Linked DNA regions of Arabidopsis thaliana. The protein of the gene in region 3 interacts with the protein of the main gene of each other region in a pairwise test. Each region holds a gene or a part of one and is shown on either strand. Other genes may lie near its edges. The genes, in order: UAP56a, EIF4A1 and AT5G02530.

Evidence for each region.
Region 1: the proteins of AT5G02530 (region 3) and UAP56a interact in a two-hybrid assay, tested with the Arabidopsis thaliana proteins (one study listed by BioGRID).
Region 2: the proteins of AT5G02530 (region 3) and EIF4A1 interact in a two-hybrid assay, tested with the Arabidopsis thaliana proteins (one study listed by BioGRID).

What each region holds. Positions count from the first base shown.
Region 1 is NC_003076.8:3,549,272-3,560,558, reverse strand, and holds UAP56a (DEAD/DEAH box RNA helicase family protein), read right to left. Parts: upstream 7,464-11,287; 5' UTR 7,362-7,463; intron 7,245-7,361; 5' UTR 7,226-7,244; coding exon 7,113-7,225; intron 6,881-7,112; coding exon 6,780-6,880; intron 6,459-6,779; exon of another isoform or gene 6,323-6,458; coding exon 6,150-6,322; intron 6,051-6,149; coding exon 5,819-6,050; intron 5,739-5,818; coding exon 5,620-5,738; intron 4,936-5,619; coding exon 4,879-4,935; intron 4,787-4,878; coding exon 4,602-4,786; intron 4,494-4,601; coding exon 4,349-4,493; intron 4,259-4,348; coding exon 4,175-4,258; intron 4,081-4,174; coding exon 4,017-4,080; intron 3,924-4,016; coding exon 3,913-3,923; 3' UTR 3,541-3,912; downstream 1-3,540. Other genes in the region: GLR2.6 (glutamate receptor 2.6), read left to right, coding at 230-1,563, 1,675-1,990, 2,101-2,507, 2,726-3,298; APT5 (adenine phosphoribosyltransferase 5), read right to left, coding at 8,573-8,644, 8,798-8,856, 8,948-9,097, 9,183-9,275, 9,504-9,614, 9,695-9,785. UniProt on the Arabidopsis thaliana protein: ATP-dependent RNA helicase involved in pre-mRNA splicing. Required for the export of mRNA out of the nucleus. In addition to ssRNA and dsRNA, binds dsDNA, but not ssDNA.
Region 2 is NC_003074.8:4,588,242-4,598,156, forward strand, and holds EIF4A1 (eukaryotic translation initiation factor 4A1), read right to left. Parts: upstream 6,520-9,915; 5' UTR 6,017-6,519; coding exon 6,006-6,016; exon of another isoform or gene 5,889-6,005; coding exon 5,820-5,888; coding exon of another isoform or gene 5,816-5,819; intron 5,736-5,815; coding exon 5,632-5,735; intron 5,542-5,631; coding exon 5,111-5,541; intron 5,030-5,110; coding exon 4,464-5,029; coding exon of another isoform or gene 4,424-4,463; coding exon 4,345-4,423; 3' UTR 4,015-4,344; downstream 1-4,014. Other genes in the region: AT3G13900 (ATPase E1-E2 type family protein / haloacid dehalogenase-like hydrolase family protein), read left to right, coding at 18-294, 382-470, 574-661, 758-967, 1,048-1,173, 1,259-1,357, 1,455-1,646, 1,730-2,440; AT3G13910 (hypothetical protein (DUF3511)), read right to left, coding at 2,443-2,492, 2,894-3,191; AT3G13930 (Dihydrolipoamide acetyltransferase, long form protein), read left to right, coding at 7,999-8,031, 8,420-8,513, 8,783-8,847, 8,944-9,029, 9,122-9,162, 9,344-9,399, 9,484-9,558, 9,642-9,734. UniProt on the Arabidopsis thaliana protein: ATP-dependent RNA helicase which is a subunit of the eIF4F complex involved in cap recognition and is required for mRNA binding to ribosome.
Region 3 is NC_003076.8:561,355-570,472, forward strand, and holds AT5G02530 (RNA-binding (RRM/RBD/RNP motifs) family protein), read right to left. Parts: upstream 4,572-9,118; 5' UTR 4,423-4,571; coding exon 4,234-4,422; intron 4,102-4,233; coding exon 3,916-4,101; intron 3,825-3,915; coding exon 3,756-3,824; intron 3,672-3,755; coding exon 3,433-3,671; exon of another isoform or gene 3,174-3,432; coding exon 2,978-3,173; 3' UTR 2,731-2,977; downstream 1-2,730. Other genes in the region: AT5G02520 (dentin sialophosphoprotein-like protein), read left to right, coding at 1-24, 115-203, 288-432, 547-664, 756-1,903, 1,995-2,076, 2,163-2,221, 2,294-2,351 and 1 more; AT5G02540 (NAD(P)-binding Rossmann-fold superfamily protein), read left to right, coding at 7,255-7,372, 7,490-7,721, 8,226-8,305, 8,402-8,555, 8,633-8,711, 8,839-8,923, 8,997-9,043. UniProt on the Arabidopsis thaliana protein: Export adapter involved in nuclear export of spliced and unspliced mRNA.

The DNA.
Region 1 (11,287 bases), 3.0 Mb from region 3:
TATAAGAATAAACTGGAATTCTAGAATTTTATAGTTAGAAAATAATAGTGTTTGACATGATAGATTTGTATATCATGTATTGAATTTGAAGGCAATTTGAATTGGATCCCACGGATCAAATCTCAAGTCCTCTCTACATCATATTTTATAGAAGCTATGTTTTAGTCATTTCTAAGCACATTTTGAGAAATGACTTCTCAAATAGGAAATATTAACTTAAACTTTGCAGCTTTATACTTGATAAAGAAGAGGGAAGTGGTGGCCATTATAGGACCAGGGAATTCAATGCAAGCACCATTTTTAATCAACCTCGGAAATCAATCTCAAGTTCCCATAATTTCATTCTCTGCGTCAAGCCCTGTTCTTGATTCTCTCCGTAGTCCATATTTCATCAGAGCTACACACGATGACTCATCTCAAGTGCACGCCATTAGCGCCATCATAGAGTCATTTAGATGGAGGGAAGTTGTGCCTATTTATGCAGACAATGAGTTCGGAGAAGGTATTCTTCCTTACTTAGTTGATGCTTTTCAAGAGATCAACGTTCGTATCCGATACCGAAGTGCCATATCAGTCCATTCCACTGATGACCTAGTCAAGAAAGAGCTTTACAAACTAATGACCATGCCCACTAGGGTTTTTATCGTGCACATGTTGCCTGATCTCGGATCGAGGCTTTTCTCGATAGCAAAAGAGATTGGTATGATGACTAAAGGATATGTATGGATTGTCACAAATGGTATAGCTGATCAAATGAGTGTAATGGGGGAATCAAGCTTGGAGAATATGCATGGTGTCTTGGGCGTCAAGACATATTTCTCAAGATCAAAAGAGCTAATGTATCTTGAAACTCGTTGGCGAAAAAGATTCGGAGGAGAAGAGCTAAACAATTTTGAATGTTGGGGTTATGATACGGCCACAGCACTTGCAATGTCAATTGAGGAAATCAGTAGTAACGTAAACATGAGTTTCAGTCAGACCAAAAGAAACACTTCAAGAGATGATACTGGGACAGATCTTGATGATCTCAGCTTTGCTCTCTCTGGTCCCAAGCTTCTTCAAGCGTTGGCAACAGTCAGTTTCAAAGGCGTTGCCGGAAGATTTCAGCTAAAAAACGGAAAGCTAGAGGCGACGACTTTCAAGATAGTCAATATAGAGGAAAGTGGGGAAAGAACAGTTGGATTTTGGAAATCAAAAGTAGGACTAGTGAAGAGCTTAAGAGTGAATCAAACAGGCATTAAAATATCACACAGCTCGCACCGCCTTAGACCGATAATATGGCCAGGGGACACTATTTTTGTGCCTAAAGGTTGGGAATTCCCAACAAACGCAAAGAAGCTGCGAATAGCAGTTCCAAAGAAGGATGGTTTCAATAATTTTGTGGAGGTAACAAAAGATGCAAATACTAATGCTCCAACGATCACCGGGTTTTGCATAGATGTTTTCGACACGGCAATGAGACAAATGCCTTATGCTGTCCCCTATGAGTACATACCCTTTGAAACTCCTGATGGAAAACCCCGTGGAAGTTATGACGAAATGGTTTATCATGTATTTCTTGGGGTAAGTTACATATTGATCCCTAAGTTTTTTCTTTTTTCTTTTTTTGATCATAAATGTAAATTATTAGCCGAAATCATGAGACCTTTATAAAACTTTTTCTTGTTCTTACAGGAGTTTGATGGAGCAGTAGGGGATACCACAATCTTAGCTAATCGGTCTACATACGTAGATTTCGCGTTGCCATACTCGGAGACGGGTATTGTAGTCGTGGTACCCGTCAAGGATGAGAGGGAAAAAGGAAAATGGGTCTTCTTAAAGCCTTTAACAAGGGAGCTCTGGTTCCTCACTGCAGCTTCTTTTCTCTACATTGGGATCATGGTTTGGATTTTTGAGTACCAAGCAAGTGGTGATTTCAGGAAACAGAGCATTATTAATAAAATATCTAATGTGTTCTACTTCTCATTTTCGACTCTCTTTTTCGCACACAGTGAGTTTTTTTTTTTTTTTTTTTGTTGTCACACATCTTCAGCTTCTAATCATTCCAATTACTTGCAAATCTTTGAAAAAAGAATCTGATATAACCACATTTTTTTATAGTGAGGCCATCGGAGAGCATTTTCACAAGGGTTCTTGTGGTAGTTTGGTGCTTTGTGTTGCTTATTCTGACTCAGAGCTACACAGCAACATTGACATCGATGCTGACGGTTCAAGAACTTCGACCAACAGTGAGACACATGGATGATCTGAGGAACAGTGGAGTTAACATTGGATATCAAACTGGTTCCTTTACATTCGAAAGGCTGAAACAAATGGGTTACAAAGAATCGAGGTTAAAGACTTATGATACTCCTCAGGAAATGCATGAGCTTTTTCTTAAAAAGAGCAGCAATGGTGGTATTGATGCTGCATTCGACGAAGTCGCTTATGTCAAGCTTTTCATGGCTAAATATTGCTCAAAATATACCATTATCGAGCCTACCTTTAAGGCTGATGGCTTTGGCTTTGTAAGTAAACCTGGTTACTTTTATCTAGGCTTTGAATAGTGGCAGAGGATGGGGCGGGACTAGTACAAACCGCTTTTAGCTACCACTAAAAAGTATTGGTCTATAGCATTACGAATAAAATATAGACTCTATCCATGCTACGAAAATATGTTCAAACCATCGAGTTTGTTCTTAATATGATTTTGAAATGTGTTTTTGGATCTCCATTTTTTTTGTAGGCCTTTCCATTGGGATCTCCTTTGGTGCCAGATCTTTCAAGACAGATCTTGAATATAACGGAGGGAGAGACCATGAAAGCTATAGAGAATAAGTGGCTCCTCGGAGAAAAACATTGTCTTGACTCAACCACATCGGATTCTCCAATCCGGCTCGATCACCACAGCTTTGAAGCTCTATTTACGATCGTCTTTGTTGTTTCTATGCTTCTACTCTTAGCCATGTTGGTTTGTAGAAGATACCGCCAAGAAAGCAAAAGCGGCGAGATCAATGCTAATAATTCGCCAACAGATGGTAACATGAGAGCTCCACCTAATCAGCCAACAGATGATAACATGAGAGCTCCGACTAGTCCGCCAATTGATGATCAAGTCCTTGAGCCACCTGGTCCAGCATTAAATGAAGCCGATGATCAAGATCAGCTTCTGAATGATGAAGTTAATGTTGGAGATCGAAATGAAGTAGATATTATTGTGGAAGTCGACCCAACTTTGGTTCACCGTAGAAATCTGATCACCTCAAAAACAATACCCACCCGAAGAGCTGCACTATTCTCGAGGATTAAGTCTGCATAGGCTCTGATCGTAGTCTTTCTGAATGAACCTAATTATTATGTTCTTTTGCGTGTTGTTTTTTGAGTTTTTTCTCATGCAAAGGCAACAGACTTGCCTCTTAAAAAGTCAAAAGACAAATAGGCAAGGACACATTGACTCCTTCAAGTTGCCTTTTTCCCCTAACCATTGTTCCTTGGATATAAACTTTTCAATATATAAAGTAACCATATATACGTGTTGTATCTCTTCCACACTAAATGAAATGTGTTATAAAAAAAAAGCATCACATGAAGGAAGTAACGCTGATGAATGACGATTCTTAGCAACACCATGATAAATTGATAATAGATCGATTCCTAAGGAACACAGTAATCAGGTCGAGACTAAATCCTGATATTTCAAACATAATAATCTCTTGTACAAAAAACTGGACAGCTTTTAACTGTGCGATTTGGAGAGTGACTCGAATCTCCTTTAAAGAGTACAACAGACGTTCTAAACATATGGAAAAAAATGTCGTCATAGAAAACACTAAAACAAACGGAGCGAGAGATAGTTGTGAACCCCCATCACCCTTCGAACACCTACAAGGTTGAAATCTGAAGAGCTTCTTTCCTGAGGGACGTGCTACTTGTTTAAGAAGGCACTGAACAAAGAAAGAAGAAGAAACAACATTAATATCACAACCAGACAAAACCAAGCTTTTAAACAAACAATTGGTAAGGGATTTCACACTTACTGTAGGTTGAAGTATCAATCTGCTCCGGAAGTTCCTTTATATCAACCTCAAACCTCTCTTGTACCTGTCCAAGATTTATAATTGCCACTTTACTAAATATCCAACTCAATTTCAAGAGGAGTTTTCCGTGGACTTATTACAAAGATTGAACACCATACCTGGTTAAGAACCTCTGAATCTGAAGCAGATGCAACAAATGTGATTGCAAGACCCTTGGTTCCAAATCTACCAGCTCTGCCAACCTATACCATACACAGCAAAACGGTAAAGTTACAAGAGCCCTTTCAGTGAGATCAACAATCAAATAATAAATTTCAGTATTATATACTTACCCTGTGAAGATAGGTATCAGCAGAATCTGGCATGTCATAGTTGATGACAATGTTGACACGCTCAATGTCAATCCCTCTTCCTACCAAGTCAGTCGCCACAAGGATCCTTTTGTGCCCTTCCTTGAAACTTTTGTATCGAGTCAACCTACATAACATATCGTATTAGCCTTAAGAATTGGACTCCTCTCCATGAGGGCTTTAAGAGCAGGTAGGGTCCTTCAAAAACATTGAATTTTGAAGAGAATGTACAGACCTCTCTTCTTGAGACATTCCAGAGTGGATGCATATTGAGGGGAAATTGCATTCCACCAGTAACTTGTTCAGCTCAGCAGCCCTGCTCACGCTCTTCACAAAAATGACAACTTGATTGAAGTCCAACGCATCAAGAAGGTCATTCAACTTCCGGTTTTTCTCCATCTCGCTCAGTTTGATATAGTGCTGTTACAGTATGACAGTAAAAGGTCTTTTAAGTATCAAACAACAAACTATATTTCCATTGAATAAGAAGACCTAACACCAGATAAGAGTACCTGGACAAGCCCATGAAGAGTCAACTTGGCTTCATCATCGACATATATTTCCATTGGCTGAAAGGAATAGATATCAGGTAATAATTAGCAAGCTTTTCTCAGGAAATGATTTACACTACAAAAGTGAAGATGGATGTAAAACCCCTGATCTGAGATCCTCGTCCACCAGGTTCTCTTCATAGATGTGAGTTTTGCTATGATACAGCGATATTGCTCGGAACATTAAGGCCCATACAATCACAATGAAACCTTGGGACAACACAGTACCCCACCCAAAACCCACCCAGCACTGCTAGAATTGCAAAGAAATTGAAACTGAATAAAAGGTAATGACGAAAGAAGATCCTGTTGTGCAATGGTCACTCATTCATACCAATGCTACAGAGGCTCACACTCACAGTTCTCGATCCCTACAAACTACCCAAAGCATTAGTGGATTGAGACCCATCGAGAGATCAGTTGCAGCTTTTCCAGGGCAGAACCGCAGAAGATGCCCAAATAATGCTATAATCACCCATAGAAACCATACCAAAGCTACAGAGTCTCACACTCACAGTTCTCGTTCCCTACAAACTACCCAACCATTATTGGATTGAGACCCATTGAGAGATCAGTTGCCGCTTTTCCAGGGCAGAACCGCAGAAGACGCTCAACTAATGCTATGATCACTCATAGAAGGCTAAAAATAGTTGAAAACTAGAAGACTTGCAAAGGGAGAGAGAATTGGCCATGGAACATTACATCTTGCATAAATTTTTTGCAGACTGGGCGTATCTCTTTGCTGAGCGTTGCTGAGAACATCATTACTTGTTTGTCATGAGGAGTCATCTTGAAAATCTCCTGCACATCCCTTCGCATGTCTGGTAAAAAAAAAGTTAAAGTGTTAAAACATAAAATTATTCAGGGATCGATGTAATAATGATGTCAGAAATCAGCATACCAAGTGACTCGAGCATTTTATCACATTCATCAAGAATAAAATGCCTCACATTCTTCAAAGAGAGATCTTTCTCCCTGGCAAGTGCAAGCACCCGACCAGGGGTACCAACAACAATGTGAGGACATTCATTCTTCAGCAAGTCTTTGTGAATTTTAATGTTGACTCCACCATAGAACACCGAAACCTTTGTATCAGGCAGATAGGTACTGAATCGCACAAACTCATTGCAGATCTGCAAGTAATTGTCAGCATCAAGGCAAAAAGCATTAGAGGAAGAAGACGTACAACAAAACTATAAGCCAAGAACCTGAGTGAAACAAGAAGGTCATACCTGGTAAGCTAGCTCTCTTGTATGGCACAAGACAAGTGCAGAAACCTGGCCAGGAGATGGTTCAATCTGTTGTAGAGTAGACAGGACAAACACAGCAGTCTTCCCCATACCAGACTTTGCTTGGCAGATGACATCCATGCCCAAGATAGCTTGAGGGATACATTCATGTTGCACTGGTGGAGAACCAAAGAAAATTGTACCGAAGAAAGCCTTTATAAGTAGATGATAACCTCCATATCTTTTAAATTGGTGGCTTTAGCACATGTTTAAGCTCACTCCAAACCAATAGATTGAAATATCGTTTATTACCTGGAAAAAGTAATCAGTGAAACGTTAATAAACAAAGAAAACAAAAACCATTATAACAGGAAATAAAAAAGAATTTGACCTCAACACAAACTTTTTTTAATTTAGTTAGATGATAAGCAAAGGACCAAGATAAAGTATAAAATATCTTTAACCAACATATCTTCTCAAAACTAGACGAAGTACATATAATTAAAAGTTTCCGGACAACTAAAACATCTTATGGAGAAGTCACTTCTGTAAATTATACAATATCATTCGGTAATAGAATGGTGAAAGGCAAGGCAGAAAAGTCAAAGGTAGGGTGTATTTCATTGTAATAACCTTCAGATGGATGTTCAAATCCAGAGTCAACAATAGCTCTGAGAAGCTCCGGTTTTAAAAGGAAGTCTCTGAATCCAGAACTGTGTATTCCCACGTACCCTCTGTCACAAAGAGAAAATACAAGATGATAAACACATGACCGTCTAATATTGGGTAGGTTCCAGGAATTTTAGCATTGAAGAACTTAGTCAATTGTCATAAAGTTAAGCAACTAACCAAACACATAGATAATTGAAGAACTTAGTCGGTTGTTATCAAGCAGTAATCTAAGAAAACCCTAAATTTAAACATCCACTATCTCATGAAACAGATCGAGGAAATCATAAAACTCACTTTTTCACGGCTTCACCGTTAACTTTGTTTCCAGAATCTGGGACCTTCTCGTCTTCTTCTTCATAGTCCAAGAGCTCCTCCTCGTAGGCTTCGTTGTCTCTAGCGTCTCCCATACTTCGCAAATTCAACAAGCTGCAGAGAAATTTCGGGTAAGATTCCAAATCCAAAACATTAACCTAAGATTCAGTAGGAAAGCATCTTCCATTGGAACTTTGGATAAGCAATTGAGTTCTCGAGCGAGAATTTTACCTGAGATAAGGAGCAGAGTTGGTTGGATCTCGAAATCGACTAGGGTTTCGAAATCTCTGACTGAAGAGAATGAATCACCAACGCCGCGTTGGTGTCGTAAATAAATATATACAAGGAGACTGGATAGGGTTGACAATAAGCTTTACTTTAATGGGCCTAAAGTTTTTATTAATCGGCCCTTCTGCGCCAATTATTATCTAAGTTTTTTTTTCTTTTTTTCTTTAGTGGGTTCGAGTCAATTTAGACAATGACGGTCAGGGCTCGTCTTGGTTTAGTGGGTTCGAGTCAATACGAACAGAACAGTAGAGCACAATAGATAACAAATTGGTTTAGTTAAGATATTTCATTTCCCTTAATAACAATGTTTTTGTTTCAAGGACCCAACAAAATTGTAGGCCCATTAATTAAAACAAAACCCAATTTAGACTGAGTTCAACCATATCTTTCACTCTCTTTGGAATCGTTTGGACGAAGCTCAGATATTTTTACTCTTGCAATTCAGAGATTTCGAAACCCTAATCCGATTTCGCGATCTAACCAGCTCTGCTGAGTTCTCAAGTTATCCATCAGACTCTTCTGTTTATTAGCAAATAAAGCTTTGTAAGGAAAGCCATTGTGTACTTTCACTTTTATTGTTTTATAGTCTTCAATAAATAACACATACAGTAGTTTGCTTATGTAATAATTTGTATCATGAAAACTTTATTAACGATTTTCAATTTATAATTTGAAATCAGTGAAGTAAGTTGTTAAGTTTAGGGAGAAACAAAGAAAAACTTGCAGCAGTGCTGAAGCAAAAATATGGACCAATATTGCAGTAATGAATAGTTTTGTCGTAGAATACAACCAACTTTATCAGTGCTCAGTAATATCAGCATTAAATTTAGTAAACCTACTAGTTGTACTTTTTAGATTTCCCGCATAAATTACGAACGTATCTTTACCCTTTTAATGATTACAGTTATTATAAACTGATTAACATGAGTTAGTGATCCATCAGAAATTCCACCAAACCGGGAAATGTAAAGACTCTTTTCAGTATCTCGGTTTTTTACCAACCACTGCCGTGGAAAGTACACATCAAAATTCAAAATCTACAGAGATCAATAAACGAGAACGAATACAAGAAGTTGGAACCCTAGAAATTTTGAAAAAAAGAACATGAACTCTGCAGGGAAAGAAAACTGAACCGGAAGTAACCGGTATGTATCCTAACAGAACTCATCTAATCCACTAGGCTCCACCAACACATAAAGCGGCTTCCCTTTGAGCTTGTGTTGCCCCTAAAAACAATTCAAAATTTTCACAAACTCAATGAGCAAATTTGAGTTGAGATTATAACAAAAAAACTAACTCTATCACTACATTTTAGAAATCATTTCAAAAGAACAAAACCAGAGATAACTTCTTAGACAAGTAAGATAAATGTGACTCACCTTGACTTCAGGCAAGCCAATAACACAAGCACACTCAACAACTTCAGCTCCTTGGCTCTCTGTAAAACGTCAAACTGTATCACATTACAATTCAAGACCAAAAAATTCTCTTTAAAAACTGAAAAAGAAAACAAGAAGAAAGAAAGAAACCCAATAGGCTCATTGCGGCAGAAAGAGTGCCGCCAGTAGCAACAAGATCATCAATGATAATGACGCGTTCGCGTGGCTCAACAGCGCCAACATGCATCTCTAAACGGTCATGCCCATACTCGAGCTCATAAGACTCCGATATCACTTTCCCTATATTTTATAGTTTCGCCAATTTTTCAGAATCTCAAGAGCTTCTCTATCACAATAACCAAAACAGATAATGCAGTAAAAAAACCTGGTAATTTTCCTGGTTTACGCAAAGGGATAAACTTTGCGCCGATGGCTAATGCAATGGAAGGACCAAACAAGAAACCTCTTGCTTCAACTCCTATATAATACATTTGGATGTAAACAAACATATTAATTTCTTAATGAAGAAAAAGACAATTCTTGTTTCTCCTTTTTTTAATTGTCTTTTGTTTGCTTATATGATGTAAACCCATTTTAGAAAGACACATAGTTTTTGGCGTTACTTAACAAACTTGATGACGAAACACTGTAGTAAAGAAATGAGAGGATAAGGAAGAACAAAGGAAAAAAAACAGAGGAGTCTTACCAGCAACGACAGAGATTTGCATGTCTTTGTAACGATCTACGAAGATATCAATTGTGTGTTTAAACGCCTTGTGATCCAGTAACAACGTAGTTATGTCCTGAAACATAATCCCTGTCCAAGAAACAACTTCAGAGAATTGCAAAAACAGAACAAAGAACAGAAAAAACAGAGGAACAAGAAGTTTTAAAGACCTTTCTTAGGGAAATTAGGGACAACCCTAATGGCTGCTGATATAGCTTCAAGCCTTGGATCTCCTTTGAGACCATTCTCCGCCGCAAACATCTTTTCTCTCTCTCTTCTCTTTCTCACTAAAGTTTCAATTCTGAGAGAGTTAAGGAGCGTCTTCACTTGTGTGTATTAATCTCTCGCACTCTCTCTCTCTCTTGAGAGAGTAAATGGGGAAGAATTCAAAGTAGGAAACAAATAAATTTCCCTCGCAGAAGAAGGAAATGAAATGAAATGAGATCAGATCTTCTCTCTTCTCTCTCTCTCTCTATGTCTCTGTCTCGCTCTGTTCCTCTGTTCACCACCAGTTGTATAGAAAGTGGGTGAGAGAGCATTTAATATTTAATAGTAGTGGAGAAGAGTGTGTGTACCACACGCGCGAACTGGGTCGGCACACAGGTTTTTATGAACCGCAATAAAATCACAATCACAAGCGTTAATGGATACTGTATTAAAGAGAGTGAAGAAAGATCCGAAGAAGAAAAGAAAATCTTATGGATCTTCGAGAGAATCTTTTGGCCTTTAGCTCTTTCTTACTAGAGTCTCGATCAAAAGACCTATAAAGGAAAGAGATTCGATACTCTGCCAAAAATAAAAAACATTTTTCTATAAAAAGAAGTACCCATTCTCCTAAAACTAGTTCACATTCCATGTTTTGTGTCTTGTCTCCTCCATACACAGCTACACTTGCCTCTCTTTTTTTTACTATATTAAAAGTTTTGTGAACTGTAATGTGTATTAAATAAGTTTTTACAACTTTATATTGGTAGGCGTAGGGATAATAGATTTTGGCTGTTAATGTTAACCAAAATCGCACCTAAAACCGCACTGCAACAGTGCTGTAACAGTATCAAAATCTCTACATATGTATTTTCGTTACTATTTGAACCGCACCGCACTTCTCCCGCACCGCAAAACGCAGTCACCATTCGGAGCCTTTGTGTTAGTTTTAGTTACCTCTTTTTTCCTTAAATCGAGGTGTTTTATATTTCTTGTCTCCTACATTACACTGTTTGTGTTTGTACGAGTACTGATTTTTGTAGATTGCGTTTATAACATTTAGATAGTAGTAGTACAGGTTTTTATGTGAATTCAAAGCGTAAGTAAAAAAGTACATGGGGAGCAGATCACCGAATACAAATAAATCAGCAATAGAGTCAATATGCGTCCAGAATTGAGTGGTACATGCCAACTTGTATAACAAAATTTCTTTTGTATGGTACGGGGTTAGTTTTGAATTCAGGTTTAAGATATAATCATATAACTCTATAATTTAGTTCAGCTCTATATAGATTAGTAAAGGATATAGAATAAATTTTAAATATTATTTTTAAATACGTGTGAAAGATCTAGACTCTTCTAATAATTAAAACGGGTATAAATAAGAGTTCAATAAATAAAGACCCAAAATAATTGCTAATATGTAAGAAATTAGCATAATGGATTGGTGACTTCATATATAAGTGAAGACCATGTTTTTGAGAAGTTAAATCATACCCCTTTTCATGAGCAATTTCAATTTTAACGATATATGTTAAAACAAAATTTCATGTCAGAAA
Region 2 (9,915 bases), on a different chromosome or scaffold from region 3:
ATCTTAAACTTTTGCAGCATAATATTTGAACGGTTATCCAAGAATGGAAAAAATTATCTGGAAGCCACTTCAAAGCATTTGAATGGATACGGTGAAGCTGGTTTACGCACATTGGCACTCAGTTATAGAAAGCTGGATGAGACCGAGTATTCGATATGGAACAGTGAATTTCACAAAGCCAAAACTTCAGTCGGAGCTGACAGAGATGAAATGCTCGAAAAGGTATCTGACATGATGGAGAAGGAATTGATTCTTGTCGGTGCTACTGCAGTGGAAGACAAACTGCAGAAAGGGGTATGTAGTGGAAGTTTATTTGGGATTACTACCAAAACTCTAATTTTTGAAATTTCCTTTCACCTTACTGTTTATTGTTCGTTTCAGGTGCCTCAATGCATAGATAAACTTGCCCAAGCTGGTCTTAAGATATGGGTTTTGACAGGAGATAAGATGGAGACAGCAATTAACATAGGGTGTGCTGTCCTTCTATGTTGCTGATAATACCACAACTCCAAATCTTGGAAATTTTAAAATAGATGGTAAGTGGACTAAGTTCTTTGTTTTCTTGAAATGCAGATATGCCTGCAGTTTGCTGAGACAGGGTATGAAGCAGATATACATAGCTCTAAGAAATGAAGAGGGATCATCCCAAGACCCAGAAGCAGTATGTATTAGGCTGATACTATAAAATCCTACATTACTGTTTACGTTTACAAACTTGTTTTGATGTGAGAACTTGTTTGTTGTTTCTAATGGCCAGGCTGCGAGAGAGAACATTTTGATGCAAATCATAAATGCTTCACAGATGATCAAACTAGAGAAGGATCCACATGCAGCGTTTGCTTTGATCATTGATGGAAAGACACTTACATATGCTTTGGAGGATGATATTAAGTATCAGTTTCTTGCCCTGGCAGTTGACTGTGCTTCAGTGATATGCTGTCGTGTCTCTCCCAAGCAGAAAGCGCTTGTAAGATTGATATACCACAAGTCCTAGTTAAATCTTCTTATTGTAGATGGGAATCACTTATTTCTATCTCGGTTTTCTAGGTAACAAGACTAGCAAAAGAAGGAACAGGAAAGACGACCTTGGCAATTGGTGATGGTGCAAATGATGTTGGAATGATTCAAGAAGCCGATATAGGTGTAGGCATCAGTGGCGTGGAAGGCATGCAGGTAATCAAATTTGTTTTCAATGTAATGCGACTTTCACATTGGTCTATTTCTGATTGCACATACATTTCTCATTTTTTGTTTGCAGGCTGTAATGGCAAGCGACTTCTCCATAGCCCAATTTCGGTTTCTAGAGAGACTACTTGTTGTCCATGGGCACTGGTGCTACAAAAGAATAGCCCAGATGGTAAATATCTGTGAATTATACTTGATATTTAGACAGGCGCATCATTTACACACCGAACAACACACAACCTGACCTTGATTCATATTCTTTTTGCCAGATCTGTTACTTCTTCTACAAGAACATAACATTTGGTCTGACTCTCTTCTACTTCGAGGCTTTCACCGGGTTTTCTGGTCAAGCCATATACAACGACTCCTACTTGTTGCTGTTTAACGTTATTCTCACATCTCTCCCTGTCATCGCCCTTGGAGTTTTTGAGCAAGACGTGTCTTCAGAAGTCTGCTTACAGGTTTACACCTCTCTTGCTCAGTTATATCTCTTCAATCTAAACCCCTAAAACCCTTCTTCTAATATAACTTTCTCTCTCTCTAGTTCCCAGCACTGTACCAGCAAGGCCCCAAGAACCTGTTCTTTGACTGGTACAGAATCATCGGGTGGATGGCAAATGGAGTCTATGCATCCGTAGTCATATTTTCCCTCAACATTGGCATCTTTCATGTCCAATCTTTCTGTTCTGGTGGCCAAACAGCAGACATGGACGCAATGGGAACTGCAATGTTCACGTGCATCATCTGGGCAGTGAACGTACAGATAGCTTTAACCATGAGCCATTTCACATGGATCCAACACGTCTTGATCTGGGGAAGTATCGTCACCTGGTACATCTTCCTTGCCCTATTTGGCATGTTACCTCCAAAAGTCTCAGGAAACATCTTCCACATGCTCTCGGAAACCCTAGCACCTGCACCAATCTTCTGGCTTACCTCACTGCTGGTCATAGCCGCCACAACACTCCCCTACTTGGCTTACATTTCGTTCCAGAGATCGTTAAACCCTCTGGACCATCACATCATCCAAGAGATCAAGCATTTCAGAATCGACGTCCAGGACGAATGTATGTGGACGAGGGAAAGATCAAAGGCTAGAGAGAAGACCAAGATTGGAGTGACAGCTCGTGTTGATGCCAAGATCCGCCAGCTGAGAGGAAGGCTCCAGAGAAAACACTCCATATTGAGCGTTATGAGCGGTCTGAGTGGCGTCTCAGCATCAACTGATACAACTTCCACCACACAACATAGTTGAACTCATCCAGTAAGTTTCCTCTTTCTCGAGAAAAAAAATCCATTAATTGGAACTGGAAGGAAGCAGACCAAAGAAGAAAATTGGGATTGAAGATAATAGGCAACAAAGAAAGGGACAGAGAATGTTGTATTGTGTGAGTTTGTGTGTGTATACTAAAGAAAATGAAAAGAAAGAAAGAATTTGAATAGAGTTTCTTATAAATAGATTCTTTTTCTTTCTGAAGAAAGAATTGGTTTTGATTGTAACTGAAGAAGTATGGTCATATTCACATGTAGATATGAAAACTGATTTCATTCATTATCTGTCTCATTCAAGTTCAAAGACTCTTCTTCTACATATAGTTGCAAGAGAAAGAAAATACTATCAATTTTTTGTTCGTTACAGATATATTTAACTCTCACAGCACAAAGAAGAGATTTTAAGAAAGTTGAGAGAAGGTATATCAAGAAATACCGATAATGTCTTTGAACCATTTGAAGCTCTTTCGAATGGATCCCTTCATCTTCTGTTCAACGGAATAAACTTTGTAGCCAGCGACTCTTCTCTTCCTCCGCGATTCTGGATCGCTGAAACTCCAGCTTCTTGACGCCGCACGATCCGCGTTTGGAACGCTTTTGCTTTTCTTTATCTTTAACTGGTAATCGTTCGTTTGACTCTGATCGCCGGCTGAATCGTCGAAGCTCCCGCTGTTGTAACCTTTCACTGCGTCTCGACGGTTTCCAGAAGCTGGCGGTTCGTAATAATTCGCCATGGCTGAGTTTGAGAGTTTTGGTCTGAACGAAGAAGAGTCGTCGTCGACTCTGTTTTTAATAGATTTTGATTGTCTTTTTAAAAGTTATAAAAGGAAATTTTAATAAAACAATATGTTTATTTTCCAAATAATTAAAGGTATCTTTTTTAGAAATCAATTTACAATTGTCATGTGGAGTTGGTCAAGGACCTACTTGTGTTTTTTTTCCCTCTTTTTTTCTTCAAACGAATTAAGTTATTCAACTTAGAAATAGAAAGAAAATGAATACGTAAAATTGGTATGAATCACTAGACTTTTCATGTGTTTTTCTTTTCTTATGATTTATAATGATGGTTAGGTTTGTGTGGATGTGATGATTTCCCAACTATTTCAAAATAGGCACGTGGATTTGTCCAAACCTGTAATTTCTCACAGGAAATAAAATTTCTTTCATAGTTTCGTGAAGAAACTTTGCAGAAGTTCAGACCAATAATTTCACTTTGATATTATAAAAGTGAAAAACCCTTGTCGGTGGTAGGCTTGACTCGGAATCATTGAATCCACATCCATAAAATTTTGAATATACTTCTTTTGAGAAAAAAAGGAAATAGTACATCAAAACTATTAGATATAATATTTATTTTCCATAAGGCTAGAAATATAAAGAAGATGCATGAAAAACGAAAGATAAAGCGAGTTCGTCGCTGTGTCCAAACAGACTTTTGATCAGTAGATTTGTCGTTAAAGCAGCGCCTGAGAGAGTGTGCCAATGCTTCATCCTTGATTGATGCAATGGAAAAAAAGTAACCCCGACTATTCAATTAATTTGTGAGCCAAGCATTTTAACCAGTTTGACATAAACATATAAAATAAGTTTAATGCTGAGATATAGATTTGAAAAAGCTTAAAACCAAACTTTGATGAAAAGATTTGATTGATACAAAAATCAAAGACAAACAACAAAGCCGAATATTAAAATAGTGAAGAAATAAATACTCCATATGACTTAAACTTAAAAATGGTCAAGAAGAGAGAGATATGTTCGTAGCTGGGAGAGAGAGGAGAGAACAACAACTAAGAAAATTTAAGAAATGTAAATCGCTGATAGACGACGGGTCAAAATCAGATCAAAGAGTGCCTTGCAAAACAAGAAAACCTTTCTTCTCCGGTGATACTAGTACGGCAGAGCAAACACAGCAACAGAACCGACTTCTTTTCTCCCTTCACAGCAGATCGGCCACGTTCGAAGGCAGCTCTTCGACAACCACATTGTAGAATTTCTGAATATCAAACAGCATCCTCTCATCATCACGGGTCACGAAATTGATCGCAACACCCTTTCTCCCGAACCTTCCACTTCTTCCGATACGGTGAAGGTAGTTCTCTGGCTGAGTTGGGAGATCGAAGTTGATAACCAGGGAGACTTGTTGGACATCAATACCACGAGCTAAGAGGTCAGTGGTGATGAGAACACGGGAGGAACCAGACCTGAACTCTCTCATGATGATGTCCCTGGTGTTCTGGTCCATGTCTCCGTGAGTTGCAGAGACTGTGTGGTCACGGCTTCTCATTTTGTCTGTGAGCCAATCAACCTTACGCCTGGTGTTCACGAAGATGACACTCTGAGTGATGGCAAGAGTCTCGTAGAGATCACAGAGTGTCTCGAGCTTCCACTCTTCTTTCTCAACGTTGACGTAGAACTGCTTGATACCTTCAAGGGTAAGCTCATCACGCTTCACCAAGATTCTCACTGGCTTGCTCATGAACTTCCTTGTGATCTCAAGAGCTTCTGGTGGCATTGTTGCGGAGAACACACCAACTTGGATCTTTGGTGGAAGAAGCTGGAATATGTCATAGATCTGAAAAAACCCAGAAACCAGTGAGATTCAAGTTAAACTATAACGAGAATGGAATTGAAACACTGAGAAATATTTGCATACCTGGTCCTTGAAACCACGGGAGAGCATTTCATCAGCTTCATCGAGAACAAACATCTTGATGTTGTCAGCACGAAGAGACTGCCTCTTCAACATGTCAAAGACACGCCCTGGAGTTCCAACAACAACATGGACACCAGCTTGGAGGATGCGCTGATCCTCACGGACACTGGTTCCACCAACACAGGCGTGAACCTTGACACCAAGGTAATCACCAAGGGCCCTCATGACCTTCTCAATTTGCTGAGCAAGCTCTCTAGTTGGAGCTAGAACCAAAGCCTGACACTGGATAAGGGAGAAGTCCAGCTGCTGCAAGACACCAGAGCAGAAAGTTGCTGTTTTCCCAGTACCAGACTGAGCCTGTTGAATCACATCAAGACCCTTACAGAAGGGGACGATTCCTCTTTGCTGAATAGCAGAAGGCTTCTCAAAACCTAAGAAAAAACAGAAGCACGCATGAGATAATGTTCTAATCTAAGACATAAATCACAAAAGATAGCTTTTTCAAGTTCCTACACACATACCATAAGCATAAATACCCCTGAGAAGGTTCTCTTGAAGACCCATGGCATCAAAGCTCTCATGAACATCATCATAGGATGTGAAGAACTCATCTTGTCCCTCAAGTCTGTATCAATACAGTACAATTAGCAGCTAGAGCATGCGGAGAGAACACACTCAAGAATGAAAAAACAGAAGTAAAAAGACTCACACTTCATTGAGTTTCTGGTCAAACTGACGTGCATCAAACTGTGTGCCTTCTGGTGCAGATCCTGCCATGCTACATAAAAAGAACAAAAACAATCAGATTTCATATCAAAAGGAAGAGAGACAACACCTATTTTGATATCGTTAATAATATGATTGCAAAGGAGGAAATGTGACAAGAAAGCCAAACTCGAAGTCCATAAAGAGAGGAAAACAAGCATTAATATCTGCCTCAGATGATGTGCGGAGAAAATGTATAAAGGCACATATGGTTATCTATTAAACATAGACACCACTCAACCTATTTCTCCAAATTACAAAAAAAAACATTCAATCAGACAAAACCAAGTGAGTGTTAAGACAAGAACATCTGAGCTTTGAAGACGATTCATTTCATTCTATTGAGAGACTAACCTAGCCGTAACAAAATCTACAAACCCATCAACAAATCTACAGATGTGTAGATCCTAAATTTAATAATCGTCATCATCAGCAGCTCAGAATCTAATAAAGAGAACAAAAACGAAAGCACTTCCACAGCAAAAAAAACGATCTTGAAGTAACGAAAAATCAAAACTTCCAAATCAACTCAACAAAGTTGAAACCAAATCTATCGGAAAACACAAAAAAACAAATCAGAACAATCCAAAAGTAAAGAAACAATCATGAATCGTAAAAGTTACATCGAGATAATAGATAGACAATCCGATAGGATGCGAACCTGGAGCAAAGTTGGTAAGCGAGAGTAAAGGGCTTTTTTCAGGGAGCTTGAATCTCCCAAACTCGGATCTGAACCGCGTTGAGAGAGAGAGAGCAAAGAGAAGAGCGAAGATTGCGAGAGACTGGTGGAATATCCGAAAGAGGCTGAGAGAAAACGCGTTACCTTGTTTATATACTCCGTCTTTAGGGTTTTCTCCTTTGGAAATCTTCTCCTTTTCTTTTTCGGATTTCCGGTTTTACCCCTTTATTCCCTTTCTTTTTACTCTTTTGGCTCGGACAAGGTTTTCCAACACTTAGCTCATTGTCTTAACTTGATTTTGGCAAAAATAAATAAACAAATATCTAGTGGGAAATTAGGAACATAAATTCTTCATTTATTTTGTGACTAGCAAAGAAAATATTCTTCATTTATTTTATTTTCTTTTCCAAAGCTTTCTTTCTCCTGCAACTTTTATTGCTTTTTGACGTTACAAAGCATTTTCCCGATTACAACGAGGATATTAGAAGAATAAAGTGACTGATAAGAACGTTTTATCTGAAAATGTCTTTACTTATTAACACATCTATCTCTCTATGTTGAATGTTTAATCATGTAATTGTTCCACAAGTGATATGAAGAATCCTTGAAACGAAGCAAAACACATTGAGTAAGAAGAAGGTAACTAGCTAGTATGAAGAAGCAGCAAGTTGCTATCTATCTTCAACAAAAAATGCTTTGATTTTAGCCTCAAGAGACTTTCTTAGAATCTGTTGCCATTGAAGAAAAAGCTGGAGAGGGCAAAACATAATCATGATGCTTAGGATAAGCAAAAAATATGTATTTAGCTTGTGTAGGTAGAGGAAGAGCTAGGAGTTTTTTGTGTGACAGGAATCGAGGGAAAACGATGGGCCAAAGATTAGGCCCATTAATAAGTTTGACTAATCCCTGCCGTTCATTAGATGCCTACGTAATCACTAACGCACCTGATGATCTCTGTCTTTTGGTGAGACGCAAAAGCTCAGAGAATAATAATAGGGCCCAATATAATAAAGTACAAACCGAAATTTGTGAAGCTTAATTAGTCGGTTTAAATACTTTTATATCGGTTATGGTAGAATTGGTGTTGGTACGATACAATCTGGTACATGTAAGGCAGCATTTTGCCATTTCTGAAAAACCTAAACACAAAACTATCTTCATCATCATCATCAAATCCCAGCTTTCTTCCAAGTGATCCTTCACTCTCTATACTGCGATTTACCGTTCTTCTGACTCTTGGTGAGTTCTAGATCGAATCCTATCTTCCATCCACATATTTACTGTTTCAAAATTGGATTGAGTACAAGTCAAATTCATCGATCTCGATCTCTGATATAGTTGCCGAGGGAAAAAGGAGAAACCCCCTAACAAACATTCCCACCATTTTTTTTGTTATTTGCAGTTGCGAATTCGGATCGGCTGACGCAGCTCCGATTGCACAACAATGGCTTCTCGTATCATCAATCATTCCAAAAAGGTTTCTCTTTCTCTATTTTTCATTTTTTTCTGTGGTTTGACTACCATTTTTGATCTTGTAAAACTGAGTTTATGCATTCGTTCTTATGTGTTTTGCTCTGCCAATCATTTTTTTCTGAACTGAGGTTCGTTTTCCGGGTTTGACTTAATCTAATCATGAATTTGGTATTTTTAATTTGATCATGGGCAATTCTGCATTTTGCTATTGAGAGCTTTAGTAACCTCCTTGTAATCTGAATTGTGATTAATGTAGTAGCTTCGCTTTATGATTCAATTGTGGTATTAGCTATTCATTTTATTAGTACAAGAAGACTCTACTTTTACAGCAGAGTAATTGTATGTTGCTCTTTGTAAACACTATTTTGACGATTGTTGTGTTATCTGACCAGTTGAAACATGTTTCCGCTTTACTGCGGCGTGACCATGCTGTGGCAGTCCGCTGTTTCTCCAACAGTACCCACCCCTCTCTCGTTGGAAGAGAAGGTAATCCAGTCAGCTTTCTTAGTGTCCTCTTCATTGCTATCCTTAAGTTCATTTTATGTAGAAATGTGTGGTGGTTTCTTTTATTTGATACGGTAACAAGCACCACACAGTACTCTGGGATGAATAGTCCAAGTTTGACTTTCACATCGTTTTCAACATGAAGAACATAACAACGTTCCAACTTTAATTAATTGAAAGTTGGTATGTTTTGAGTATATATTATGCTTCTCGCTTAAGCATTTATTTTTCTATTTTTATTTGGTCTTCAGATATCTTCAAGGCCCGCCTGAATTATTCCTCTGTAGAGAGAATTTCAAAATGTGGTACTGGCAATGTAAGTCCCTGCTGTTCAGTTTCCTTTCTCGTCTTTGCTTTGTCACGTAATCGTCTGTGTTTTTTTGGTCGTAATGTCATTAGCTGCATTATATAGGTAACAATGCTTAGTGGTATTTCAACAACGAGCACAAAACTAAGCAGCCCAATGGCAGGACCAAAACTATTTAAAGAATTTATAAGGTATGTAATCCATTTACCGATGAGAATACAACTTGCTACCTTCCTGTATGAATACTTCTATCCTAACTGTAAGCTTCTTTTCTTGCTTTTAGCTCCCAGATGCGATCAGTGAGAGGATTTTCATCCAGTTCAGGTATTTAGTTCTTTATTGTAACTTCCCGCTTGTTCTAACATATATTTTCACTTGAATTGTACTTTTTTTTGTGAGCATCTGACTTGGTTTTTGTGCCTTTTGCGGCCATCATATTTCTGTCACTGTGTATATGCAGCATACATGGTTTGTTTTACTGATAACTTTTTAAAATATGTTTCAGATCTTCCTCCTCATCAAGAGATTGGAATGCCTTCTCTTTCGCCAACAATGACTGAGGCATGTACCTCTGAATACCTCTTACGAAAATTAACATGGTTTATTGTTTTATCATTCTACTAAAGATATCTGTTGAAACTTCAGGGTAACATTGCCAGGTGGCTGAAGAAAGAAGGTGATAAAGTTGCTCCTGGTGAAGTGCTTTGTGAAGTTGAAACTGTAATGATAATCCTGATTGAATCTCTTCCTGTATTGATTCTTATGCCAGGAATAAAACACTTATCTCAATCTTAATATTTTAGGACAAAGCAACAGTCGAAATGGAATGCATGGAAGAGGGTTTTCTCGCCAAGATAGTAAAGGAGGAGGGGGCAAAAGAAATTCAAGTTGGGGAGGTATGAGAGTTTCTGACTTTTGGAGACTTGTTAATTATAATGGGTTCTCATGAAGTATTTGATTGTGAGCCCTATGCTCCCTTTAGTTGAAGATCAATGAATATTCAATAAAAATGACAAAGATCTTTATCTTCATTTGTAGAATCACATATAAATGGTCCCTTTTTTTTTTGTCCAACTA
Region 3 (9,118 bases):
TCCAAGTCGTCTTTCCAGAAAACGGTGAGTGAGCTTCTTACTTCATCTCCTCGTATTTGATTCAATCAGTGTTCTAAATCCGCCTTTTTGTTCATCTGGGTTTTTCGAATAAAGGTGGTGCTGAGAGATTGGTGGTTGATAAAATGCCCAAAGGAATTCGAAGGGAAACAATTTGGTGTTGCTGGATTCGAAGAGTCCGTCGAGTAAGAGTGCTTTGGACTTTTCAGGTTTCTTTTTTTTTTATGAAACGATTTAGTTTTTGAATTCTTCGAATTTTGCCTTAATAGGACAAGAGCAATGCGTGTGTTTACATCTTCACCAATCACCAAAGCTTTGGATGTTTTCACACTCTTAGCATCTGATGGAATCTATATCACTCTCAGAGGTTTTCTTAACAAAGAACGCGTTCTTAAAAATGGATTTAACCCTGAGGTAATCTAAAGATTGCTTAACTTGTTGGAACTTGATCTATCTAAGAACTAAGGAAGAAGAACTGACTTTGATTTGTTCTTTCTCTTTTGTTCTGTGGTCTGGTCTTGGGAATAGATTTCTCGTGAATTCATCTTCGGGTTTCCTCCTTGTTGGGAACGAGTTTGTAACAGTTGCTTTGAAGGAGACTCTTTTGGCACTGATGTTAATACCGTCCCTTCGACTATCGAGAAAGGTTAGGTCTTGAAGCAATGTGTTTGTGTGTGTGTGTTTTTTTCTGATGCATCTATGTTTTATTGATATGTCCTTGTTTTATGATTTCTTAGCAGCTTGTCCTCCCATTTTATCACCTTGTAAGTACTCTAACAGGAATCTTAAGGATAATCCAGCTGAGAGCAGAGAGAAAAGCAATGTGACTGAGACTGATATTGCAGAGATTAATGATAAAGGTGGTTCTGGAGCAAGAGATATAAAAACTGCAAGGAGAAGGTCTCTTCATCTGCAAATAAAAAGGATACTTGAATCGAGTAAAGTCCGGAAGACTGCTAATGATGGAGATCATGGTAGTGAATTTTTGAATACGGCTAAGCGCGGTGATGTAGAAAGAGATGGATGTGAGGTTATCAATAATGAAGACAGTGAATGGAAACTCGATGAAAGTGAAGTCCAGAATCTTTGTAATGATGGAGATAATGGTAGTGAAGGTTTCATTAAGGCTAAGAGCAGTGATGTAGAAAAAGATAAGAGCGAAGCTATCGATAATGATGTGATATCTCCAGCGGTTGGAAGTGGTATTAAGCATACCGGTGCAGATAATGTTGATAAAGTGACAAGTGCAAGTGCTACTGGAGAATCACTTACTTCGGAACAGCAAAATGGTTTACTTGTAACAACAGCATCTCCACATTCCCTGCTTAAAGACTTAGCCAAGAGTAGCAAACCTGAAAAGAAAGGAATATCCAAGAAAAGTGGCAAGATCCTCAGAAGTGACGACAATGTAGTAGATCCCATGAATTACTCTGGGACGAAAGTCAAAAGTGCGGAAAACAAAAGGAAAATCGATGCGAGTAAACTCCAGAGTCCGACTAGTAATGTTGCAGAACATAGTAAGGAAGGTTTAAATAATGCTAAGAGCAATGACGTAGAAAAAGATGTATGTGTGGCTATCAATAATGAAGTGATATCACCAGTGAAGGGATTTGGTAAAAGGCTTTCTGGTACAGATGTTGAAAGATTAACAAGTAAGAATGCTACTAAAGAATCACTGACGTCAGTACAGCGAAAAGGTAGAGTGAAGGTATCGAAGGCATTTCAAGATCCCCTGTCGAAAGGAAAATCAAAGAAAAGTGAGAAGACCCTTCAAAGTAACAGCAATGTTGTAGAGCCTATGAATCATTTCAGGTCTGAAGCTGAAGAAGCTGAAGAAAACTTGTCATGGGAAAAAATAAAGAGGAAAATCGACTTTGATGTGGAGGTAACCACTTCCCCTTATGCCACCACTTACATGGTTATCCTCTGATATTCCTGTTTGAGTGTTAATGCTCTTGTTGTTATGTAATTCAAAGGTAACACCGGAAAAAAAAGTGAAGCAGCAGAAGACCAATGCGGCGTCTACTGATTCATTGGGACAGAAACGGTCAAGATCAGGTTAATAGAGAGTAGAAAATCTTCACTTCCAAAGGGCTCTGTTGAAAGCATTAGTTAAAAAAAGAATTTTGTTTAATGTTTTGCAGGAAGGGTGCTTGTGTCATCACTAGAGTTTTGGCGTAACCAAATTCCTGTTTATGATATGGTTTGTGATTTGATTTCCTTAACACTAGACCAACCATGGGAACAGAGTCTTTAACATTGTCTGGGTTTGCAGGATCGGAACCTTATCCAAGTAAAGGATGGTAGTGAGACTAACTCCGCTCCATCTAAAGGTTAGTTCTTTAAAGCTGTTTTTTGATGAAAACGGCTTTCACTATATAATACAATATTTGTTGTTTTTTTCTTTCTTCTTCTTGATAGGAAAAGGATCGGATTCTCGAAAGCGAAGAAACTTGAAAATCAAATAAACTATTTCAAACTTTCGTAATTAATAAGTAGGTTTATTATGGTCTCTGACCCTGTAATCATAATTAATAAGTAGGTTTGTTATGGTCTCTGACCCTGTCTGTAATCATTTTGTTGGTCGTGAAACTCTCTTAATATTTTAGTATTACTAGCTTCCTTTATTTTTTTTACAAAGTAAATTCATAGTGGATCTCGTTTGCTTCAAGCTCAAAAGTTTGAAACGACAAAGTATACGTAGTAAGAGAGTAGATAGAATTGTGTTTTGAATTGATATTTTAGAAGAGTTTTGAGTTCCACGGTACACACAATGCTTGTTTCTCTGAACTCAACTGCAAAAAGCTAAGAAGCTCACCAAGAGAAGAAAAAACAAAAGCTAAAGCTCGAAAATGTCAGACCCATTGACATTCAATCTAAAGATCATACTAATACAAAAGCATATCGGCACTAAAGGAAGGAATACATGTAGACATGCAATAGGTTTAATCTCCCCTTTCTAACTTGTTTCCATTGCCTCTTTGTGGTACTTGTCCAATTCAGCATCAAGATCCTCTGCAGATACGTTTTCATCACGTCCTCTTCCACCACTGCCACGACCACCACGTCCTCTAGCTCCCCTGCCACCTCTGAAATTACCACCGCCAAAACCACCACCACGAGGACGCCCCATAAAACCGCCTCTTCCTCTGCCTCTGTGGCATAACAGGTTATCCAAAATATTTAATAGGAGTACAAGGTTCGTGTAATCTACCTATCAGGATATACTTGGCCTAACCAAAAAAGCATTTCGTCAATATACTAACTCAAGAACAAAACATAGGCCATCTTAACAGAAGAACAAAACATAAGTATTTCATCAAGATACTAACTGACTTAGCAATAGATTGATAGACCCTAGCAAATGATACTATGAAGTTTCCATATTGAACAAAGTGTGGAAACAAGACAAACCTGAAGTTTCCATTGAAGTTGCCATTGAAATTGCCATTAAAGTTCTCATTAAAGTTGCCAAGTATCCCATTAGTAGGAAAAGGAATCTGAGCTGTAGCAAGAATGGGAAGAGCTGGAGCAGAAAGATTAGTCCCAACAATCTCTATCTTCATCAGTTTTCCATCCAACTGAACATTGTTGTAACGCTTGACAGCTGCCAATGCATCCCCACGCCTCGAGAAAACAACTTCAGCAGTCCCCTGAAAGCATCATTAAGTTTAATCATGACAAGACGATTCAATAAACAAATCTCTGAAGCACAATAAAGCTTATCAAGTAAGTACCTTTGATCTTCCACTCCTATCATAGTGAATCCCATATCGCTTAAGATCACCAACCTCAGAGAAAAGCTCCTACAAGCAAAACCATCTCAAGATCAGAAACAAAACCACAATTTTTCTCATAAGTAAGACTGGAACTATAATAAACTTCTAAAGCACAAACCTTGATATCTTCGTTGGAGACACCATAGTCTAAGTTTGAAATGTAAAGCTTAGTTCCAGTCTCGATAGACGAGCCACCACCAACAACAGCAGTCTGATGATGCCCAAAAGCCGCCGCCACAGACGCATCAGTCGCGAAGACGTCGTTTTGCCACATCGCATCATGAGCTTGTTGTTGTTGAATCGGCTGTTTTATTCGTCAAAGAAGAAACGAAAACAGATCTCAGCTTTTTTTGATTTCACAAAAACCCTAAAAGGAATTCTCTGATTCTTGAAGGAAGAGAAGGTAAAGGGAGAGATATAAAATCAATGGGCTGACCCTTGAATACGGCGCCGTTCTGGCTCCTACGCGGTTAGCAAACCGACGAGACGGACCGGAATTAGAACCGGAACCACCGCGACCACCGGTGTTATTGCCACCTCCAATGCCTCCTCGGCCGCGAGATCCAGTAGGTTTTCGATTAGATTTGATGATATCATCAAGTGACATATCTAAGCCACCTGACATCTTCGCCGGATCTTTTCTCCGATATCGAGAAATGTAGCTAGGGTTTTGTTGCTCTGAGATTTCAAAGATGGAATTACGCACCGCGAGAGTGAGAGAGAGAGAAACAGATATTATCTTCTCGGAGAATTACGATAAACACCTCAGCTTTAATCAATATTGTTTTGTTGCCCTTAAACTCTTACGTTTTACTAAATAGACCCCTGAGTTCTTAATGGGCCTTTTGGACTCATAAAAATCCAGTGGCCCATCCTCATTGTCCACTTCAACTTATTATATTTTTTTCCCTCCGGCCATTGTCATAATCAAAGATGTGGACAAGTACATGTGAAGCACACGCATTGCCTGTATGGGCACAGTATGTGACTGTATCACAACGTACATACACATTCACGTATTAATATTAGTAAGTCAACCCTTTTTTTTCTTTGTTTATCTCAATTTGGAAAACAAATCTTGCCTTGCTATTTAACAAATTACTTGTACCATGAGTGTTAAAGACATCTTTATAACCTGACCAGAAGATTTTATGTAGAATTCTAGACGAATTATGAAATTTTTAATGGTTAAGTGGACTTTTTTATTATATGATATACAGATTTGTATTCAAATGATGACACATTAATTACTATACAAAATATTTAAATATGTTGATAAAAACAAAATGTGGTTAACAAAAAATTATTGATATCTTTGATCCATGGAATAATAACCGTTGCACAATAGTATTTTTTGAGCTGCCTTTTTTGGCAGTAATATAATATAAGGAAATAAATAGTCAATATCGTTAGACGTTATAGTCTCACATGGTCACATCACTTCCCCATACAAATGAGCCAATGAGCCGGATGTCATGTGCCAGTCGCCGCTAAAAACATGATAGATAGAGTAAATGCCTTCATTATTCTACTTACATAATTCGACTATCCTAATATATAGGTGCTAGATCTAGCAATATAATCTCTTCTGTTTCTTCTTTTTTTTTTTTTTTTTTTTACTGAAGCAGTTACAAATGTAGGTTGGTCCATTCTATTTAGATTTGTTTCGTTGCATGCCAAACAAAATAATGTTAACCGGTTATAGAGTACTAAACAAACAAAATAATCGCTAAATATAAGTTCAGCTTTGAAAAGAATATACTCTCAGCTACCACGACAAGTTTGTTCAACTATCAGTTTTACATCATAAAGCATTATAGGTTTTGATTGTTTAAATCACGAATTAGTATGTTGAAACAATAATAACAATAATAAATATGGCATTAATCTCGATAGTGGTGTGTGTGTGTACCTTTGTGTAAATCTACCACCTAACAATGTCATTATGAGGCTCTCTCAGCAATCAATTTTGCAAGGCAAAAAAAAGAAAGATCCAAATCTCGTAGTTGGATTCTCTGAACTTGGAAACGGGATGTGAAAGGAACATCGATATCTATGAGCACGGGCTATGAATTAATTTTATACATTCTGTATTGTTTCTTTATCCAAATAAGTATATATCTTTCTTTATCTGCCGGTCAAAAACTCTGTAAACGACCGATGAAGTATTCTTGAGTAGAGTTTTAATGATTTTCTTTAGTATAAGATTTATGCTCTTCAGTTGTTTAAAATTTGTACGAGACCTTGTTTAGTTATGTTAGGTTTTCTTCTTTATTTTCTATCAAGAACATCCAATGCAGGTTTGAATATGGATGACAAAGTCAAGTATTTTCGTCTCTACATGAAAGAAACAAACCCACACCACTTTGATTTTGTTGGTTTAGACTATAGTCATCGGTTTAGTTGCATAATAACCTCCCTAAGTTTTGGGGAAAAAATGAAACTAATTAGATGGTTAATTAAATGAAACTCGCCCCTAAATTAGGAGGGATTTGGGTAAGTGGTAACACATTCACTGGAAACATGTGAAGAAAGGAGGATGTCAAGTAGCTGAAAACTCAGTATAGTAACCAACGGCTTCTCACCAACCTTTCATTAATAATTTGGTCATCCCTATATTTTTATTCAACATTTTGTTTTTCAATAGCTTAGAGCACCTTAATACCTTTCAGTGTTTTTTTATAAAAAAAAACAAAAATTGGGATTAATCATCAATCCCCAAATGTAACGTTTACTTAGATTATGTTCATTTTTCTATACACACAAATCATATTCTTTTGTTTTAATCTTCGAAAAACGAGAGGACATTAAATACCCCTAAAAAAGGAGGGGACATTACTACCAACGTACATTAACATGTTTGATAGCAAACGATTTATTTTGTTCGTTTTGAAAAGGGGAAAGTAATGTGTAAATTATGTAAAGATTAATAAACTTTTATGGTATAGTAACATTTTCGAATAATAAGAGAGGGAAAACACTCGCCATTGTCGGCAATTTAGAACCAATATTAGAAGGGTTTTTTTAGAGAAAAAGGACTTAAAAGTTTAGAGACCTTAACAACAACTTATTTAGAAATAGACATGCTTAAGTTGACAACAGCGAGTTTATTTTCTATATCGAAGAAAAATACGAACTTTTTCTTAATTAGATTTCGAATGCATGCACTATCGAGAATCGACCGTCACAAGAAAAAACTAATATACATACTGTACATATCTATATTCAATATTGGTGGGGATGGGTTTAATGTGTATTTATAATTCATGGATAAATTCACACAATAAGGTCCATGAAACTAGAAGGTACCAAAAATAAGCATTAATGACTCTTTGCCACTTATATATATGATTCTCTCATAGTACCATTTTATTCTCCCAAACCTATCTTCTTCTTCCTCTCTTGTCTCTCTCGCTCTCTCTCTTCTACATTGTTTCTTGAGGTCAATCTATTAAAAATGGGATTATATTCACTAATCACAGGAAGAAGAGGACCAAGTGGATTTGGTTCAGCTTCAACAGCTGAAGAGGTTACTCAAGGGATTGATGCAACTAATCTCACTGCAATTATCACAGGTTCACATATGCATATGCATACATTTACAAAAAAATTACATCGCTACGTTTTTGAACATGTTTTAATTATTTATTGCTAACAAAACTTGGTATGTGATTTATTATTATTGTAATAAGGAGGGACAGGAGGAATAGGGATGGAGACAGCGAGAGTGCTGTCGAAGAGAGGTGCTCATGTGGTGATCGGTGCCCGAAACATGGGAGCTGCAGAAAACGCCAAAACAGAGATTCTCAGACAAAACGCAAACGCACGTGTCACTCTTCTTCAATTAGATCTCTCTTCCATCAAATCCATCAAAGCCTTTGTTCGTGAATTTCATGCCCTCCATCTTCCTCTCAATCTCCTCATGTACACATTCTCTCTTTCTCTCATTCAGTTTAAAGCGTTTGCACCGCCTTTTTTAGCGTTTGGATTATTGATTCTTATGACAATTACAGGCTTTGAATGGTTTCCACATTAACAACGTTAATTAACACTGTTTTGGTTACCATTCCTCTGTTATTGTGTAGTACTACTATTTACGTTAGTTAGGTAATAAACAACGACACCCAATAATTATTTATGCAGCTTTTTCTTTTTTGATGTTTAATGCTGTGACAATGACATTATTTTTTCGCTCTAAACATTTGACTTCTTTCTTCTTGTTTTGACAACATCAATGTTACTTTACATTTTCCAATGTGGTATCATTTATTACTACCAAATCTCTACACACGTATCACTAGATTTGTAGATGTGTGTAGCAAGAAAAATAAATGTTATCTGTTTTTATTTTATTTTTTTGGGTGAAAAAAAAAAGTGCATACTTTTAATTAATAATTATAACAATTGTACACAAAATGGATTTTGCAGAAACAATGCAGGAGTAATGTTCTGTCCATACCAACTCTCTGAAGATGGAATCGAATTGCAGTTTGCTACAAATCACATTGGTAAATCCTATATTTATAAAAAAGTTAAAGAAACTTGGTTTCAGAAATTAAACCTGAAAATATTGAAATTTTTAATTCTTGAATTATACTGTATAGGTCACTTTCTGTTGACAAACTTGCTCTTGGACACAATGAAGAACACAGCTAAAACCAGTGGTGTTGAAGGAAGAATTTTGAATGTATCATCTGTAGCTCATATCTATACTTACCAAGAAGGAATCCAATTCGACAGCATCAATGACATTTGCAGGTAAATTCTACAGTTTTTGACTTGTTTCAAAACTAAATAAATCTTGATCTTGTAACCATGTTTTTTCTTTCTCTCAGTTACTCGGATAAGCGAGCTTACGGACAATCGAAACTAGCCAATATATTGCATGCTAATGAGCTCTCCCGTCAGCTTCAGGTCGCCTTCACACACACTGACAAACACAAACACATATATGATATTTCAAAGTGTTAGTACTATCTCAAATTTATAAACACTTGAGAAAATAAAAACTCAAAATCTTTTTGGGGACATTGTTTGGTAGGAAGAAGGAGTAAACATAACAGCAAATTCAGTTCACCCTGGTCTTATTCTCACCAATCTCTTCCAACACACTGCTCTTTTAATGAGTAAGATTTCACATCATTTTCTTAGTTTCTCTGTTTCTCTTCAAATCATTCCTTTTAATTCCGTTTTTGGCAGGGTTCCTGAAGTTCTTCAGCTTCTACTTGTGGAAAAATATACCTCAGGTACTATACTAGTAGATAGAATCCTAAGACTAAGCCAAATTCAAGATCTTACTCTATGACTATGTTACTAAATAA